2 linked regions of the Rhinolophus ferrumequinum genome follow. The protein of the gene in region 2 purifies or fractionates together with the protein of the main gene of each other region. This does not show direct contact. Links are inferred from orthologs where the notes say so. Each region holds a gene or a part of one and is shown on either strand. Other genes may lie near its edges.

Region 1 (8,275 bases), on a different chromosome or scaffold from region 2:
TACCATTCATTAATTGGGCAAAATATAATCAATATACTGTAGGTATTAGTTATAAAGTAAACAGTAGGTGCTTGGTTCTGCCATATATAAAATACTCTTAACTTTGTGCAGTTCTTTATTAATTATAAAGCAGACATTTTTGCAGACACTAAATCATTGTATTATAAATCTCAAAGCAACGTCCAGGTGAGGTATTAGTTTAAGGTGAAAACTGAGGCTCAATTACAATAAACGACTTATCTAGGGTCACACATGTGCTTACATTGACTCATGTCTCTTTGTGTCACAGAAAAACAGAAACCCAGTAGGCAGTTGTGCTGCAGAAAGGGTACTGTCCTTGTAACCGGGGATTCATTTGCTATATGATCTTATAAGTCTCTGCACATGAGTTTTCTTACTCATAAAACGGGGATGATATTGGCAATATTGATAATACTTTCTTAAATGTTAATGTTAAGGTCAACATGGTGATTCACTCACTCAATAATTTTCTCACGAAAAAGTTCATGGCAGCACTATAGTAGTACAAAACAAAACAAAGCCCTTGAAATAATTTGAATGTCCATCAACACAGGAATTGACTAAACAATGGACATCCATACTATGGAATATTATGCAGGTATGAAAATGAATGACTTTCATCCAAGGGTGCTGTATAGCACGGTAGCCAGTAGCCAAATGTAGCTACTGAGCACTGGAAAAGTAGCCAGTTCACATTGAGATGTGTCGTGAGTGTAAAACACACACTGGACTTTAAAAGCACAAGAAAAAAAAGAATATAAAATATCTCATTAATAATTGTTTATATTTACTGGTTATATGTTGAATGATAATATTTTGATATATTGGGTTAAATAAACATATTATTCAAATTAATTTCACCAGTTTCTTTTTACTTTTGAAATGTGAATATTAGAAACTTTAAAATTACACGTATATTTGCTCACATTATATTTGCATTGGACAATCAGTGCTGATTTAGCTGGATGTCCATTATATATTAAGAGAAAACATTATATCACAAAGATATATATTTGTATCTATTTCTCTATATATATTTTATCTATTTCTATATATATCTGTATGTACATACATACATATACACACATACACAAATGTATGTATATATAAATATATACATATTACAAACCTATAAATATATACACATATTATGAATTCATTAAAAAAATAGAAAAAAATCCCTACATATGTCATGTATGTGAGTGACTGTGTGTGGGATCTGTGTGTGTGTGTGTGTGTGTGTGTGTGTGTAGGTATGGAAAAAAGTGTGGTAGGATACACACCAAATCATTAACCGTGCGGGGGTTGCCATAGGGAGGCTGTAGCCACTAAGGAGCCGGGGAAATTACTGCTCTTATTTGGATTGTTGCAACACACTTGTATTGCTTTTGTAGCTAAGAAAGAAATAAAAATAAAACATCTGTAAATGAATTTCTTAAGCTTGTTATATGCCAGGTACTACTGTGTAGGCTTTGGGCATATGAAGATAATGACTGTTTTAAGAGGAGCTCATAAACTAGGGAAAGAGGAAAAAGACTCAATCAACAACGACCTTGAACTATGTTGGGGGCTGTGAGAGGATAAACAGGCAGCCCCAAGGCGTAGTGGGGAGGGGGTCTCTATTTTATTTTTAGGATGTGGTCAAGGGGTGTGGACAGCGAATGTTTTGTGGAGGAGCTGATTGAGTTGGAACTGAATCTTGCTTGACACTTAGTTTTCCAGATGAAGAAGAGTTTGAAGGGTATTCCAGACAGAAGAAACTAACTTCTGGAAGACAGAGATGCAAGAAAGAGCAAGAGGCCTTTGAAAACGGTCAGATTATGCGAAAGAGTGGGGGTAAATGAAACTGTGTGGGTATATTCCATATCTAGAAAGGTTTTTAGTCTAATGGGAGGATTTTAATTTAGTGCTAAAGACTTTGAACCTCCCTCATAGAAGCAAAGAATGACATGATTAGATTTGTATGCTAGAAAGATCCTTCTTGCTGCAGAGTGTACAAAATATAGGAAAGACTGGGGAAGCAATGGTTTCTGTGCTCAAAGAGCTTAGTTTACTTTGGAAGAGATATATGATAAACAGCATTTATCAAGTGCATACTTTGCCAGGCACTGTTCTGGGTACGGCAGATCCTAAAATAACGTCATTTCGTTCACTGTCCTTTCCTAACGTTCCTGAGAATAAAAAGTCCATTCCCAGTCACGGCCACTGTCTGTGTGTCGTTTTCACGTTCTCCCCATGTCTGCGTGGGTTTTCTAGAGGTAGTCTGGTTTCCTCCCACATCCCACAGATGTGCATATTAAGTGATCTGGCCTGTCTCCATTGGCCCATTCTGAGGGGTTGTAGGGGTGTGTGTGTGTGTGTGTGTGTGTGTGTGTGTGTGTGTGTGTGTGATGTGCCCTGCACCCTGTGATGGAAGGGCCTCCTGTCTAAGGTTGGTTCCCACTTTGCACACTGAGCTGCCAGGATAGGCTTCAGCTGTGCTCAGCCCTGACCTGGAATAAGTGGGTTACAAAATAATGACCACACTTGTTTTTATTAATCTTTTTTTAAATGTATGTATAGCTCACATTTATTTCAATGTTTAATATTAGAAGTATTTTGGGTCTTTATTTAGAAGTGTGGAGATGTTTTTGTGACCAGAAATATTCTCTCGGAACTTAACTCTTGTTTCTATCAATTAGCCTATGATAAAATTGGTTTTGTTATAGGTCATTTGTCTTCAAGTCGCAGTTTCCAAGAATGAATTGACGACATTAAGTGAGGACTTACTGTACTCCACAAACATTAACTTTTTTTTTTTTTTAAACATTAACTCTTTTATTCTTTGGAACCTATCCTATGGGGTGTGTGGTATTTAGAGTCTCTCCATTTTACAGAGAAGGAAACTGAGACAGAGTCAAGTAACCTAACATAGGACACCCAGGCAGACAGGCTGAGCTTTGAAGATCACGAATTTAATCCCCCGTATTATACTGTGTCTTCGAGTTATAATGGAGTACGTTTGGTTCTAAGATAGGAAAGGTGTCTTGGGGACCACATAACCTGGTCTGGGAGAATCACAGCGGGCTTCCTAACCCAGCGGAGATGACTTCGAGTCTGAGATTTGAGGCATAAACTAGAGTTCCTGGGGAAGCGGGGTCAGAAAGAACCCTCCAGGGAGAGGGAGCATCTCAGCTGGGAGGGGAAATGAAAGTCATTCAGCACGACCGGGACATGGGGAATGAGGTGAGTGGTGGGGACAGGTAGGGCTGGTGAAGTGAGCAGGGATTGGATCAGGAGGGTGTTAAATTTTTTTTTGTTGTTCCCTTTTTGCTACATCCTAAAAGCAGTGAGAAGCCTTTGAAGTACTCCAAGTTAGGGAGTGACTAGATTTGCATTTTAGATTACTGTCGCTATTATGTGGAGAATGGATGGGACAGGGAAAGCCTGCAGGCCTGAGATCAATTAGGATGTTGTCTGAGTTGTCCAGGTGGCTAAGATTTAGGAAGAATATGGAAAGAAACAGGTTGAGCAACTTCTTGCTGAATGCTATTACCTAAATTAAATTTGCATATATTAAAGACAATTTTTTTTGTAAGGAGCTCATTAATGCTGAAGCAGTTAGCACACTGTGTGAAAGTTCTTTGTATAGGAGTGAAATGGGAATCATTGGGAGGATTTTGGAGCTATCTAATGTGGGTTGAATTCACTCACTAGATCTGTGGCCTTTAATGAGTCACGTGCATTCATTAGGTTAAAAACTCGACCTTCTTGTGGTCCGAATTACCATCACCTACAGCCTTGAATACCACAGTATTTTAGTATTCCGGTCTTTCCGTTACTGGCCTTGCCCTCTTGATCCAATTCTTCACAGGGTGCCCAAAGTAATACTTCAAAAACACATTATATTCCTCCTCTGCCGAAACATCTTTCAAGGGCTCTCCATTTCGCCGTTCATTTAAATAACCTATAGGATCCTCTACCATTTCTCTTTCTCATCTCCTGCTACTCTCCTTTCACCACCAACTCTCCCTCCGGCTGGAGACTTCTCTATTGTTTTTCTTTCTTTTTTTTTTTTTTTAAATTTATTTTTAATTTATTGAGGTGACAATTGTTAGTATAATTACATAGATTTCAGGTGTGCAATTCTGTATCACATCATCCATAAGTCACACTGTGTGTTCACCACCCAGAGTCAGCTCCCCTTCCATCACCATACATTTGATCCCCCTCACCCTCATCCCCCCCCTCTATTGTTTTTCAATAGGAGGCAGCCTCCTACCTTAGATGCTTGAAATGCTACTCCCCTCACTTATTTCCTCTGACGGCTTCAGCATCTGATCTTTACTGGAATCCTCAGTGAAGCCTTCCCTAAAACTCTGTTTCAAATGATACTAGAAAGGGCTATTTGGAAAAGACAAGAAGGAAGGATGGGAATATTACCATGAGTATTTTACTTATCTTGATTACCGTAGCTCCTCCCAGAACACAGGAATTTTTGTCTTTTCACTTCCCTGTTGTATCCCCCTAGTCTAAAACAGTGCCTAGCAGATAGAAAACCCTCAACATATGTTTACTGACATTGATAATACAGCTAACAATTACAAAACACTAAACAGGCCAGGCCTCGCTCTAAGCATTTTACATGTTCAATCCTCACAATAATCCCACGAAGAAAATACAATGACTATCTTTACCTTACAGATACGAAGGGATGGAGGAAACTGAGGCTCAGAGAAATTAAGCAACTTTCCCAAGGTTATACAGCTCGTTAAGGGGAGCGGCGATCTGAGGAATGAAATGAATGAAATGCGATTTGGCAGTCAGCGCAGGAATGAAAATTGACACCGTGGGAACGGAAACTATCGGTTTGGGGCCGCGCGGACAACACTGAGCGCGCAGCTCACGCCCCGCAGCCGAGGTCTAAAGGAGGACGTGAAGGTACTTTGGGAACTGCGAGGCGGCGGCTCCAACGAGCCACCACCGACCTGCCATTACCAGCCGCGGCTGGGTGTCCCGCCGCCTGGAAGCAGGAAGTGGCAGGGGGCGTCGCGCGGGGTGACGTCACTATGGCGCCGGCGGCGAAGGGCGGGGGCGAAGGAGGAGCGAACCGGGCTTGGGGGGCGGCTGCACAGTCTCCGGGATCCCCAGGCCTGGAGGGGGGTCTGCGCGCGGCCGGCTGGCTCTGCCCCGCGTCCGGTCCCGAGCGGGCCTCCCTCGGGCCATCCCGATGTGACCAGGCCCAGCGGAGCCTGAGCGAGGAGCGGGTCCGTCGCGGAGCCGGAGGGCGGGAGGAACATGACATCGCGGAGGTGAGGAGCCCGGAGGGGCCCGGCGCGGGCCTCGGCCCGGCCCCCGTCGTGTTCGGTCAGCCTCGCCCGGGAGGGGGCGCGTCGGGCGGACTTCGGTCGTCCGCCTGGGGTCGGGGGACAGGCTCCCCCCCAAACTCCTCGCCTTCCCGGGGCCGGGGTCCGGTCCCACCTCGCTCCCACCCCTCGGGTCTCCATTCATTTCCTGCCTCCCGGAGTTCCGGCTCCCGCAGCCTAGGGGATGCCCGTCGGGACGGGGGCAGGTAGAGCGCCGCGGGAACCGCGGACGCCAGCGGCCCGGCTCGGCGCCGCATTCCTGACCCATTGCCTCATGAGAATTGCCTCATGGTGATTCCGAAATAACCCGGCTCACTTGGGGAGGCTCCTTGGGCCCGCGACGCGGGAGGGAAGAGGAGGGATTTGCTCCGGGCCGGGTCCCCGACGGTGGAGCTGCTCGAGGTCACTCTGCCTGTCGCGCGCATTTGGGGGCTTCACTCGGGACCCCTGACCCCTTTGTAGGCGTCTTTGCATCTCCTTTTCCCCCCACCCCACCCTTCACGTGCCAGAAATGGAAAAACTGACTGTATCTGCAGCTATTAGAAGTATTTCCTTCCTCTGCAATATTCGCTTTGAGAGATGGGAGGGAAGGGAGTTGTATCTCTTCTAGTTATTTAATCCTTCACCGCAACCCTAAAAGTCAGGTAACATTAATGACCTTCTTTTTACGGATGTGGAAACTGAGGCTCCGAAGTAACAAGCTAGTAAATGACAGGATTTGTACCCGAGAGTCAGAAGGAAGATTAGTGAATTAATGAGGTCCTTTGAAAGTTCAGGGTAATAATACTAATAGCTAACATTTATTAAGCTGTTACTGTAAGCCAAACATTTAATCTTCACTATAACCCTACGAGGTAGGTACTATTATCCCCTTTCTAAAGATGGATAAACTGAGTTTCAGAAGTTAGACAACTTGCTTAAGGTCACTCAACCAACAAATGGTAGAGCCAGAATCTCCACTATTAATCACTATGTTGCTATTATTTTATAACTGTTGCTAATCATTTTTAGGTCTTAATTTTGTTATTAAGCAGTAGGGTGATCTATTGTTTTCAGATGGTGATCTGCTTTTTTGTATAGTCACTCATTATATACCATTCACATATAAGACTCATTGTTTAGTCTTTTCTTTGGTTGCCCTGTTGTGGTCACTGTCTTAGACATTTGAAAAACTGTTTAGCCTTTTGGTGTTATTTGAGTGAGAGACTTCAAAAGACTAGAATGTCGTCTCAAAATACACCTGCACAATACTTATTCATAGATCTGGAAGGAAAAGAGTGAGAAAAAAAGAAAACTGGAAACTTTGGAAGTGAGTGACTTGGACAGGTCTGTTGGCAAGTGCTTACAGATCTGGGTAATACATAATTGCATTTCAACAGGGCAGTGTATAGCCTCAAATGTAATTCTTTAGGGAGCTTTTAAATAAAACAGTTGTCTATTCTTTAATCTGTCAAATAGTCATTGAGCCTTTTGTTCCTTGTGTCTGCTCTTCCAGACAAGTAAGGATCTGCTGCTTTTGGAGACAAAAGATGGGGCTGGGGCTGGGTAAGGGGTAGGGTAGTAATAGACCCTACATTGTCCAGCTTGTTAGTCTAGAAGCAGGGAAGTGTGGGGATAAGCAACCGGCAAGTGGTAAACATGACAGTTTGAAATGGAGTAATTCCTCCTCTCCTCCAGCCCTCCCTGTCTCACCTATTATAACAAAGAAATGTGTGCCACCAAAAAAGTCAAGTTATGAACATAACACACATAATTGGGAATTATTATTATTTTTCAGGTTGTAGGTCTGTTTTATTATTTTTAACCAGCTTTATTGAGGTATAAATGACATGCAATACATTACATATATTTAAGTGTACAATTTGATAAGTTTTGATGTATGTATATACCCGTGAAACCATCACCACAATCAAGATAAGAAACATGTCCAGCACTGCTTGAGATGGTTCCTCATGTCCTTTATAATCCCTTATTTTTCAGGCAACCACTGCTCTGCTCTGCTCTGTGTCCCTATACATTAGTTTGCATTTCCTAGAATTTTATATCAATGGAATTTTAAGGCTGGCATCTTATGCTCAGCATAATTATGTTGAGATTTATCCATGGTGTAGTATATGTCAAATAGTTCATTCCTCTTTATTGCTTAGTAATACTCCATTGCATGGATGTACTGCCAATTGTTTATCCATCCACCTGTTGATGGACATTTGCATTGTTTCCAGAGTTTCGCTATCACAAGTAAAGCTGCTCTGAATGTTCAGGTACAAGTGTTTGTATAGATATACGCTTTCTTTTCTTTTCTGTAAACCTATCAGTGGTATGGCTGGATCATATAGTAGATGTATTTTTAACTTTTTCCCAAATTGCAACACTGTTTTACATAGTGGTTACACCATGTGCATTCCCACCGCTCATGGTGTGGTCAATTTTTAAATTTTAGCCATTGTAGTGGGTGTGTCATGGTATCTCATTTTCATTGTAGTTTTAATATGTATTTTTCCTGGGGACTAATCATGTAGACCATCTTTTCATGTGCTTATTTACCGTCTGTATATCTTCTTTGGTGACATATCTAGTATTTGATACAATATTTTCCCTCTTTTTTATTTAGTTGTTTGTTTTATTATTGAAATTTGAGAGTTCTTAATTCTGGATACTAGTCCTTTATCGGAATTGCAAATATTTTCTTTTAGTCTGTGGCTTGTCTTTTCTTTCTTTTTTCTTTTTTTTAACTAAAAGTTCAAAGTTTTAATCTGAATTTTTCTGTCTTTTCATTTTTTTAAGTGTCTTTTGAAGAACAGAGATTTTTAATTTGGACGAAGTCCAGTTTACCAGTTTTTTTTAATGGATAATGCTTTTACTGTCATTCCTAAGAAATCTTTGCTTAACCCAAGGTCTCAAATGTTTTC
Region 2 (8,419 bases):
GTGGCTATCCCAGTAGTCTGGAAAAGGAGACTCACAGCAGTTGGAGTAAGAGGGAACAGATTAGAACACGTCAAAGGGGGAACGAATCTACAGGTTCTACCTGGGTGTAGTCAGTCAGGCAAAGAGAAAAGACAGAGATGACTCCGAAGTTTTGAACCAGTCACATAAAATAATAAAGCTATTAATCAAGAGAAAAAAATTGTAATGGTAGGTGGAAGGCAGTTGATGATTTTAGTTTGGGTATTCCCTCAACCATTCATTCAAATTTAAGTGCTTACTAGGTGTCAGGCACTGTATACATGGGAGGATAAAATAAGGGTAAAATATTATCCTTGTCTTCAAGGACCATCCAAACTAGTTGGGGAAGAGCTGGGGTGGGGGGGAGGTCAATTATATAGAAACTTGGAATCCATTGTTAAGTGCTAGGCAAGGGTACTAACAGAAAATAAAGACTATCTCACTCAGCCCTGAAGATTTGAGAAAAGATCTGAGATCAAACTAGTCCAGAAGAAGTAGTGTTAGGCCAGGCAAAGGGCAGTCCAGGTGAAAATAACAGGATCTCCACAGAGCTTCAGGTAAGATAACACAAGTTGGGCACATCGGCAAATAGTGCAATAAGTCTAAAGGAGGAGTTCAAGATACGGAGATATCCAAATTAAATGTCTACTGTGTTTCCCCAAAAAGAAGACCTAGCCAGACCACCAGCTCTAATGCGTCTTTTGGAGCAAAAATTAATATAAGACCCGGACTTATTTTACTATAATATGAGACCGGTTCTTATGTAATATTGATATTAATTTTTGCTCCAAAAGATGCATTAGAGCTGATGGTCCGGCTAGGTCTTCTTTTTGGGGAAACACAGCAGCAGGTAGATGAAAACGCAGGTTTTGAGCCACCCAAAGCATGTCCAGATATGAAATATATTTTTAACCTTGTTTTAGGTGGCTTAGAATCATCAATAGTAGATATTTTAAATAAGAATTGGAAGAACATGCTACACACCTGAAGCTGAAGTTAAATAGTATTGAATGTCAACTATAATTAAGTATATGTATACATATATTGCCACGGGATGTGGAGTACAGCATAGGGAATAGAGTCAATGGTATTGTAATAGCTGTATACGATGTCAGAGAGGTAGTAGATTGGGGGGACGGGGTTATCACTTTGTGAGGGGTGTAAATATCTAACTAGTACATTGTTTTGTACACCTGAAACTAATAATTAAAAAAAGAACTGGAAGAACCTCACCTATCAACTAGATTGTGTATCCTTCCACCTCCTCCCATCACTTCTGTCATACAAGGGCATTTCTGCTTAAAGTCAAAGCTGGTTTAGGTAAATAAGCAGAGGTCTGGTGGAGAGCTGTGGTAAACTGAAAATACTACATGCTGTCTAAAGAGGGCAGCTGCAGCACTTTACTGCCTTGCTGGAAAGCGGGCCCATGAGGGGAGAGCTACTCTTCAAGAAAAGCTCAAAATTCTGATTTTATGTAATATCTCCCATTTTTAAACATTGGCAACTAATTACATTAAAATTAAAACAACACGGTGCCAGCCAAACCAAATGCTTCTGTGGACAGATTTTAGCAAGGGCCACCAGTGTGGCAGAGTTGGACCTGGTCTGCCAACTCCTGCTCTTTTTACTGCTTCATAGTCCCCTCAATTGATAAGAGTATCTTGATGGTTCCCCTGGGACAGGCGTTGCTTGCTTCCAAACAAAATAGCCCCAAATTGATAGTGTTTTAGGAGGTTTTTTGTATTTTTTTTTTAACAATTTTTCTGTCTCCTCTCCACCTCGGTCAGGATACCAATCAGGTCTGGCATCACTGAGACCTCCTACTCACCTTCTATTACAAGCTAAGATGTAGCATGTAGGTAAAGCAAAAGGAAATACAGTGAGAGCCTGAAGAGATTTCTAATGAATAAAGCCTAATGAATATAAGGCAAATAGCATCTGTTTTTGGTTTTCTTTAAAACAGTATCACAGAGATGTGTGTGGCTAGTCAGATATCTAAGGAAAAAGGTCATTAACTTAGATCTGAAATATATGAGCAAATTCTGCTAACAAACCAAATAGTTTCCACTGTAAGATACCAAGAGGGGAAAAGGGAGAACAGGGCAAAAGGGAAAGTAAAAGTTGCTGGCCTTTGAGAAATATCAGACACCTTTCAAGAGACAGTTTTTAAAAGGATAAATGCTTAGAACAAAAGGTACACCCATAATCTGAACTCTCAGTAGGAGTAAAAATATTTTCACCAGATAACAAGAATCATTCTTTGAGCAACAAGAAACTGGGATTTAGAAACACTATTAAAAGAGAAAGCAATTTCTATATTTATAGAAAAAGTAAAAGGAAAACAAAAAAATACTCTGGTTGTTTCTAAGGTTCATTCAAGCACACCAGTTCCTGATGTTTTAATGTATTTAAGTCACAATGTTGCTTTAGAAGCTTTTAAAATGTAGCAACATTTCCTAATTACACTAAAACATTTAAAAAGTACAAGTCGTGGGGTATATAACGTTAGGTAACAATGTGGCAAACTTGAAGAAACACAGGAAGTTTAAAATTTCTGATCCACAAACCGAATGATAGTGCCAAAATTCTCAGATTTTGGAAAGAAAGAAAAAGAAAAGAAAAAAGAGTGGCTTGCACACCCGCGCCTGTTAATGGGAGGAATGGAGGAATTCGGGGGAATGAAGAGTGATTACAGAGGGCGAGCAAAGCAGGCCATATTCCTGCTGGCAGGCGAGCGCTGCAATTACTTAGAGCAAGCATTATGGCCAGAGCATATCGAGCCCACTGAAACGGGCAGACTGGACACCTAAAACCGGAGGCTGACAGCGGGTCTGGGTAAGACCAAGAAGCCGGAAAAGTGGCCTGCTTTGACCTCCGCTGAGACCTGAGGCTGCTCCAACTCTGGTGAGAGAATCAGGGGCAGGACCTTAAGCTGTCAGGGACTGGATGATTTGGACAAACGCTCCCCGCTTTCCTGCGGCCTTCTCACACACGGAGTGAATGTCAACACCGACAGCCAGCGACTGCGGGGGAACCTCAGTGTGTGCCGTCCTTTCTGGGAGGCAGTGAGACCGGGAAGAAAGACGGCCCCGCGCGCGCCCCGCCTCCCCAAGCCTTGCCCAGCCGGGCCCGGCGCCCTCGCAGGGGCTGCAGCCGGGAAGCGGGGTCCCCTGCGCTCCTCACCTTTTTCAGCGCAGGCACCAGCAGCCCCCGCCACTTGGGCGCGTTCTCCTCGCTGAAAAACTCGTACGGCAGCTGCTGCGCCTGCATGGTGCCCCCGGGGCGCCCTGCACTGGGAGGGGGCGGCGGCGGCCGGGCCGGGAGCCGCGAGAGGGCGAGCTCGCAGCGCGGAGCAGGGCCGCGGCCCCACCGGACGGCCCGGCCCCCTCGGGGCGCCGCGCGGCCGGGCTAGCCTTGGAGAGAGGGCTGGGGGGCGAGGCCCGCGGCCGGCCACCCACCCGACACGGGCACCCGCCGCAGAGAGCGAACGCAGCCCAGAGGCGGTGGCGGCGGCATCCCGCACCACCGCCCAGGGGCCGGGCCCCCCCACCCCTCCCCGGCCCGCCGGCGCCGCCCCGGGCTGCCCTCTGCCGAGGCCGCCGCCCGCCCGCCTGCCGGGGCTGCGCTCCTGGGCCCGGCCTGGCCCCGCGGCGGAGCCGGCGGCTGGGGGAGGGCGTGTGGAGGGGCGCTCCGGCCGCGGCGACCGCTCAGCGCAGCGGAGACCGCCAAACGCGAGCGACCCCGGGCGGGGCGGAGCTGGGGCCGGGGTCTAGCGGGGGAGGGGAGAGGCCCGAGGTCGTTGTTGGGGAATCTGGCTGCCCTGAGGTGCCGCCGCGGCCGCCGCCGACGCGGGTGTAGCGCTGGGGCTTCCTACTAGCGAACTGAACCTGCTCGCTACTGAGCATGCGCCGCCGGACGGGGCCAGTTCGCTCCGGGTTTTCCGGCTCCCCAGCGAAGGAGGAGGGAAGCTCGAGAGAGGGAGGGCGCCCGGAGGGGCTGTAACTGCATCCCTGGAGCTGCAAGGGAGGAGCGATAGGGACCGGAGAAGTCGAACCCCGGCTACAGTGGGGCTTGTGGGGCGGGGGTGTGGGGGGTCCGGAGGGACAGGGGGCGAGCTACGGTGAAGTGGCCCCCATTGTGTGGTTGGGCCACGAGGGATCCCACCCCTCTCTTGGAGTCTGCCTTTCTCTTTTCGGAAAGGGGTGTGTATGTGTGTACTTTGTTCCCGAACATGAAGATAAGGACTGCCCAGAGCAGGCAATGTATAGTAAACAGACTGGACAAAAGATAGGTGCGTTCTCACGATACCTGCTGTTTGGTATTTGTCAGATAATAGAAGTGATCGCAGTGTTTCCAGTCGGCCTTTGCACATCAAGAATAAAATGTTTATGTGTAATACTGATTTTCTGTGTGTTTAAAATTCAATATGTTCATCTTTCAAACCCACTTCAAATAAAATTCAATATTTTCATATTTCAAACCCATTTCAAATATGAACTCCGATGACCGCTTAACTCCAGTGGAAATTAAAGACTTGTCTGCAGCTCCCAGATCCCACAACACTTCACGGTGGACATTTCGTTTATCTCTCCTGGGTCTTTCAGCGAGATACCAGACCCCTGGAAGGCAGATCTTTTTTCACCAGGGGCTCTATACAGAATAGGCACTTCGTGAATGTTTGGAGTGCTGAAGGAGCTTTACCTATAAATTGTCCCTCCATCCCAGGGATGCAGGTGTTTGTTTATAATAGTGGAACGGGTGTGGCTGGCGCGTTATGGCCTACCATTAAACACTTTTTTAACATAATCTCATTTAATCCTCATAGCATTTCTAGTTTTCATTTCACAGGTGAGAAGACCACTTAGAGAACTAGCCTGGGTTGAAGTTGACATTGTACCCTGCTACTCCAGAGAACAATAATCAGGACCACAGAGATGAGAAATGTTTAAGTGGTGGTTTTGAGAATCTCATAAAAGCCTTAGGTCCTTTCCTTTAAAAATGTACACACCTGATTTACATGAAAAATTCTCCACATTTTCAGTGTTCAGAGTGACGTTTTGAAAGTCATTCATAAATCTTCTGGATAAAATGAAGTAGAACCATAGCTTCCAGAGGTGTTGGGGGCAAGAAAGGAAAACATATCAGCCATGCTCAAATATCTAAAGGACTGATATGGAAAAACATAGGATATGTGATATGGTTTGTGTGGTTCTAAACAGCTGAACTAAGATCAAATCTCTGCCCCACGTTATTCTTTGGTTTCCCATTGTTCTCTTCCAACTTCTTACCGTGGCCCATAAAGCCTGCGTCTGGTTCCTGTTTGCATTCTCAACCTTGCCTCCCCTCTGGCCACACTGGTCTTCTGTCTTCCTAGAAAACAGCAACCTCTTTCCTGCCTCAAGGGCTTTGCTCTTTTCTCGGCTTGGAACTTATTCTGCTCCTAACTGTTCGCTTGGCTGGTTATAAATGTCAGCACCTCCAAGAGGCCTTGTCTAATAATGCTGAGCAGTTCCCACCTATGTTTCTACCATAAGCCTTGTTTATTTCTTTGCTAACATAAATCACAGCCTTTAATTATTTTCAGTTGTTGATCTATCCCAACTAGAATAGAATGTAAACTCCAAGAGATCAACAATCGTTTGTTTCACTCTAGTTCCTCATTGTATCCCCAGAACCTACAGTACTTGACTCACAGTTGGTGCTCAATAAATAATTTTGAAGGAATGAAAGTTGAATGTAGGAAACTTCCAGGAAGGTTACCTAATCAGAGTTGTCCTAGGAAACGGACGATCTTTGGGGGTGCAAGTAAAAACCATACATTCACTCGCTCGGGACATAGGGGAGGGTTAAGAGGTTGCACTTGATGACCTGCAAGGTCCCCTTCAACTCCGAGTCTCTGCTATGATTGCAGAGGTAAAACATGCCTAGAAACATGGATTACAGCCTGTGCTGGGGCGGCCGGGGCAGGTTTTCACTAGTATGAACGTTTGGGCCGCAGATTGAGAGCAAGCAGCTGAAGGAATATTGCAGAGAAGCGACTCAGCACCTCTCAGCTGAGAGCCTAAGGGATGCGGTGCTGGGCTCGGCGCCGCTAAGGTTAGGGAGCGATCGAGCCCCTCTGCGCTGTTTGCCTATATCTCTTGGGACAAATCAAAACATCTATGAGTGTGCAGTGACAGAAGATAACCGTGAACATGCTAATGCAGGCGCAAAGCCTTGGAGGCCGGTCAGCAAGAGCCACCGACTGCGGCCCGGCGCAGGCGCAAAGGTGCTCTTCGCGCCCCTCGGCCCTAACAGGCCCTGAATCAAAGCGGACGTGACGCAGGGCGCGGGCCCAGGCGGCCTAGCCGAGGCCCGAGGGGGCGTGTCCAGGAGGGATAAGACGAGTTCCGAGCGCGTCGCGTCGAAGCCCGAGCAGCAGGGAAGGGGGCGGGGGAGGGCGTTGCGCCAGGCGGCGCGCCCCCTGCAGGTGGGAGTGCAGCACTCAGCTCCTTTCCCAGCGCCGCAGTGGGACGCAGTCACAATTACCTTTCTGAAGCAAATTTCAGAGCCAGTTACTCTCCTATTCAAGAGCCTCCACTGCCATCCAGGGATAAAGTCTAAAGTCCTTGGCTTGGCATTCACGGTCTTGCACAATCGGGCCACTACTTATCTTTCCTGCAATATCTCTCACTTAAAATGAACTACTGTTGCCTCCTACAAACCCATCATTTCTGTCTCTCCTTCCTGTCTATCCTGTTCCGTCTGCCTGGAATGCCCATAACCATTTTTCTTCAATCCCACCCGCCACAGCTTCAACCCACCACCCATGTACACGCTCATCGTGGAACTCATCCACGCTGTCGCTCCAGCTCAAATGCCACCTTCTCTCTGAAGTCTTTCTCATCTCCCATTTAGGATTCCTACCCCTTAAACTTCAGAGCACAACAAGCATAGAAACAGCCGTTTCAGCCATCAGCAAAGTTAAGGTCCTTTCTCTTCAAGCAGCATATCCTCCCTTCATGCTTCTCACACTTTCTTCTCAAATTCCTGCTTTCAATTCCACTTCTCCAAATAGTATGTACATAGACAGTACGCCAGAGAAAGTAGTGGTGATAAAACCATTGAATACAACCTCTTATCACCTTTAGTTAACACTTTGATTCCCTCCCTCTCTCCCTCTTCCTGTCTCTCTCTCTGTCTCTGTCTCTGTCTCTCTCTGTCTCTCTCTCTCTGTCTCTGTCTCTGTCTCTCTCTCTCTCCTCTCGATGGTGGGGAGCAAGGTAAGTACAGTTAGAAGAAATGATTAAAAAGCTCTCCAAGATATATGGGATTATTCCTAGCACTTTTTTCCAGGATCCCTACAGAGTCGTTTTTTGCAAAAGTTCAGTTGATTCAAGCTGTAACGGCCCCTCAAACTAACTGCACACAAATCCTATGCAACTTTAATCAAATTACCAATGGTTTGTCATGGAACTTGATAAACTGGTCTAAAATATATATGGAAGAGCAAAAAAAAAAACCTAGTTCTTCTGTAAAAGAACAAGGTAAGGGAACTTGACTTACCAGATATGAAGACTTATTACATAGCTAGAGTAATTAAACAATGTGGTATCAGACAAACAAATCAATAGATCAATAAAGAGCCAAATATATAGAAACTTGATTTATGACAACAGGCGTTGCAGATGAGTGGGGAAAGGATATACTGTTCAATAAATAAAATATGGGCAATTGACAAATACATATTAAAAAATGAAATTACATCCCTAACTCACACCCTAAACAAAACAATCCCACATGGATGAAAGATTTAAATGTAAAAAAACAAAATTATAAAATTATGAGAAGAAAATAAAGTATCTTTATGAGCTTTAAGTAGGAAAGAATTTAACTTTATTACAGTTAAGAACTTCTGTAAATCAAAATATACCATAAAAAAGTCAAAGGACAAGCCATTAAGTAGGACAAAGTAGTTGCAACTCACATAAGAAAGAATTAGTTTCCAGAACAGGTAATTTACTTTAGAGGAAATAATGATGGTTAGCTGTTCAACTCATTAGGATCAGGGAAATGTAAGTTAAAATCACAGTGAAATATTATACTATTTCATGCCCACTGAATTGGCAAAATTTAGAATTGAACAATACTAAGCTTTGTCAAGAATGTAAAGCAACTGAAATTCTCATCCACTGCTATGGGAAAATAAATGAGTACAACCACTCTAAATAACTATTTTCTTTCTTAAAAGAAAACATGGGCATATCTTATATAAATTAGCATAGACATATTCCCATAACATATACGAGTATATCCTCACTGCATTGTTTATAATACCATAAATAGAATGGGTAAATAAATTGTGGAATACTATAGAGCAACAAAAATGAATGGACGACAGTCACATACCTTTCAATAGACT

Evidence for each region.
Region 1: the proteins of SOS1 (region 2) and PTPN11 purify together in Homo sapiens (affinity purification with western blotting; 4 studies listed by BioGRID and IntAct, with this or other methods). This does not show direct contact. The link is inferred for Rhinolophus ferrumequinum from reciprocal best matches to the Homo sapiens genes SOS1 and PTPN11.

Annotation. Positions count from the first base shown.
Region 1 is NC_046308.1:7,484,425-7,492,699, forward strand, and holds the start of PTPN11 (tyrosine-protein phosphatase non-receptor type 11), read left to right. Parts: upstream 1-5,089; 5' UTR 5,090-5,298; coding exon 5,299-5,312; intron 5,313-8,275. UniProt on the Homo sapiens protein: Acts downstream of various receptor and cytoplasmic protein tyrosine kinases to participate in the signal transduction from the cell surface to the nucleus. Positively regulates MAPK signal transduction pathway. Dephosphorylates GAB1, ARHGAP35 and EGFR.
Region 2 is NC_046296.1:44,779,122-44,787,540, reverse strand, and holds the start of SOS1 (son of sevenless homolog 1), read right to left. Parts: upstream 3,524-8,419; 5' UTR 3,289-3,523; coding exon 3,202-3,288; intron 1-3,201.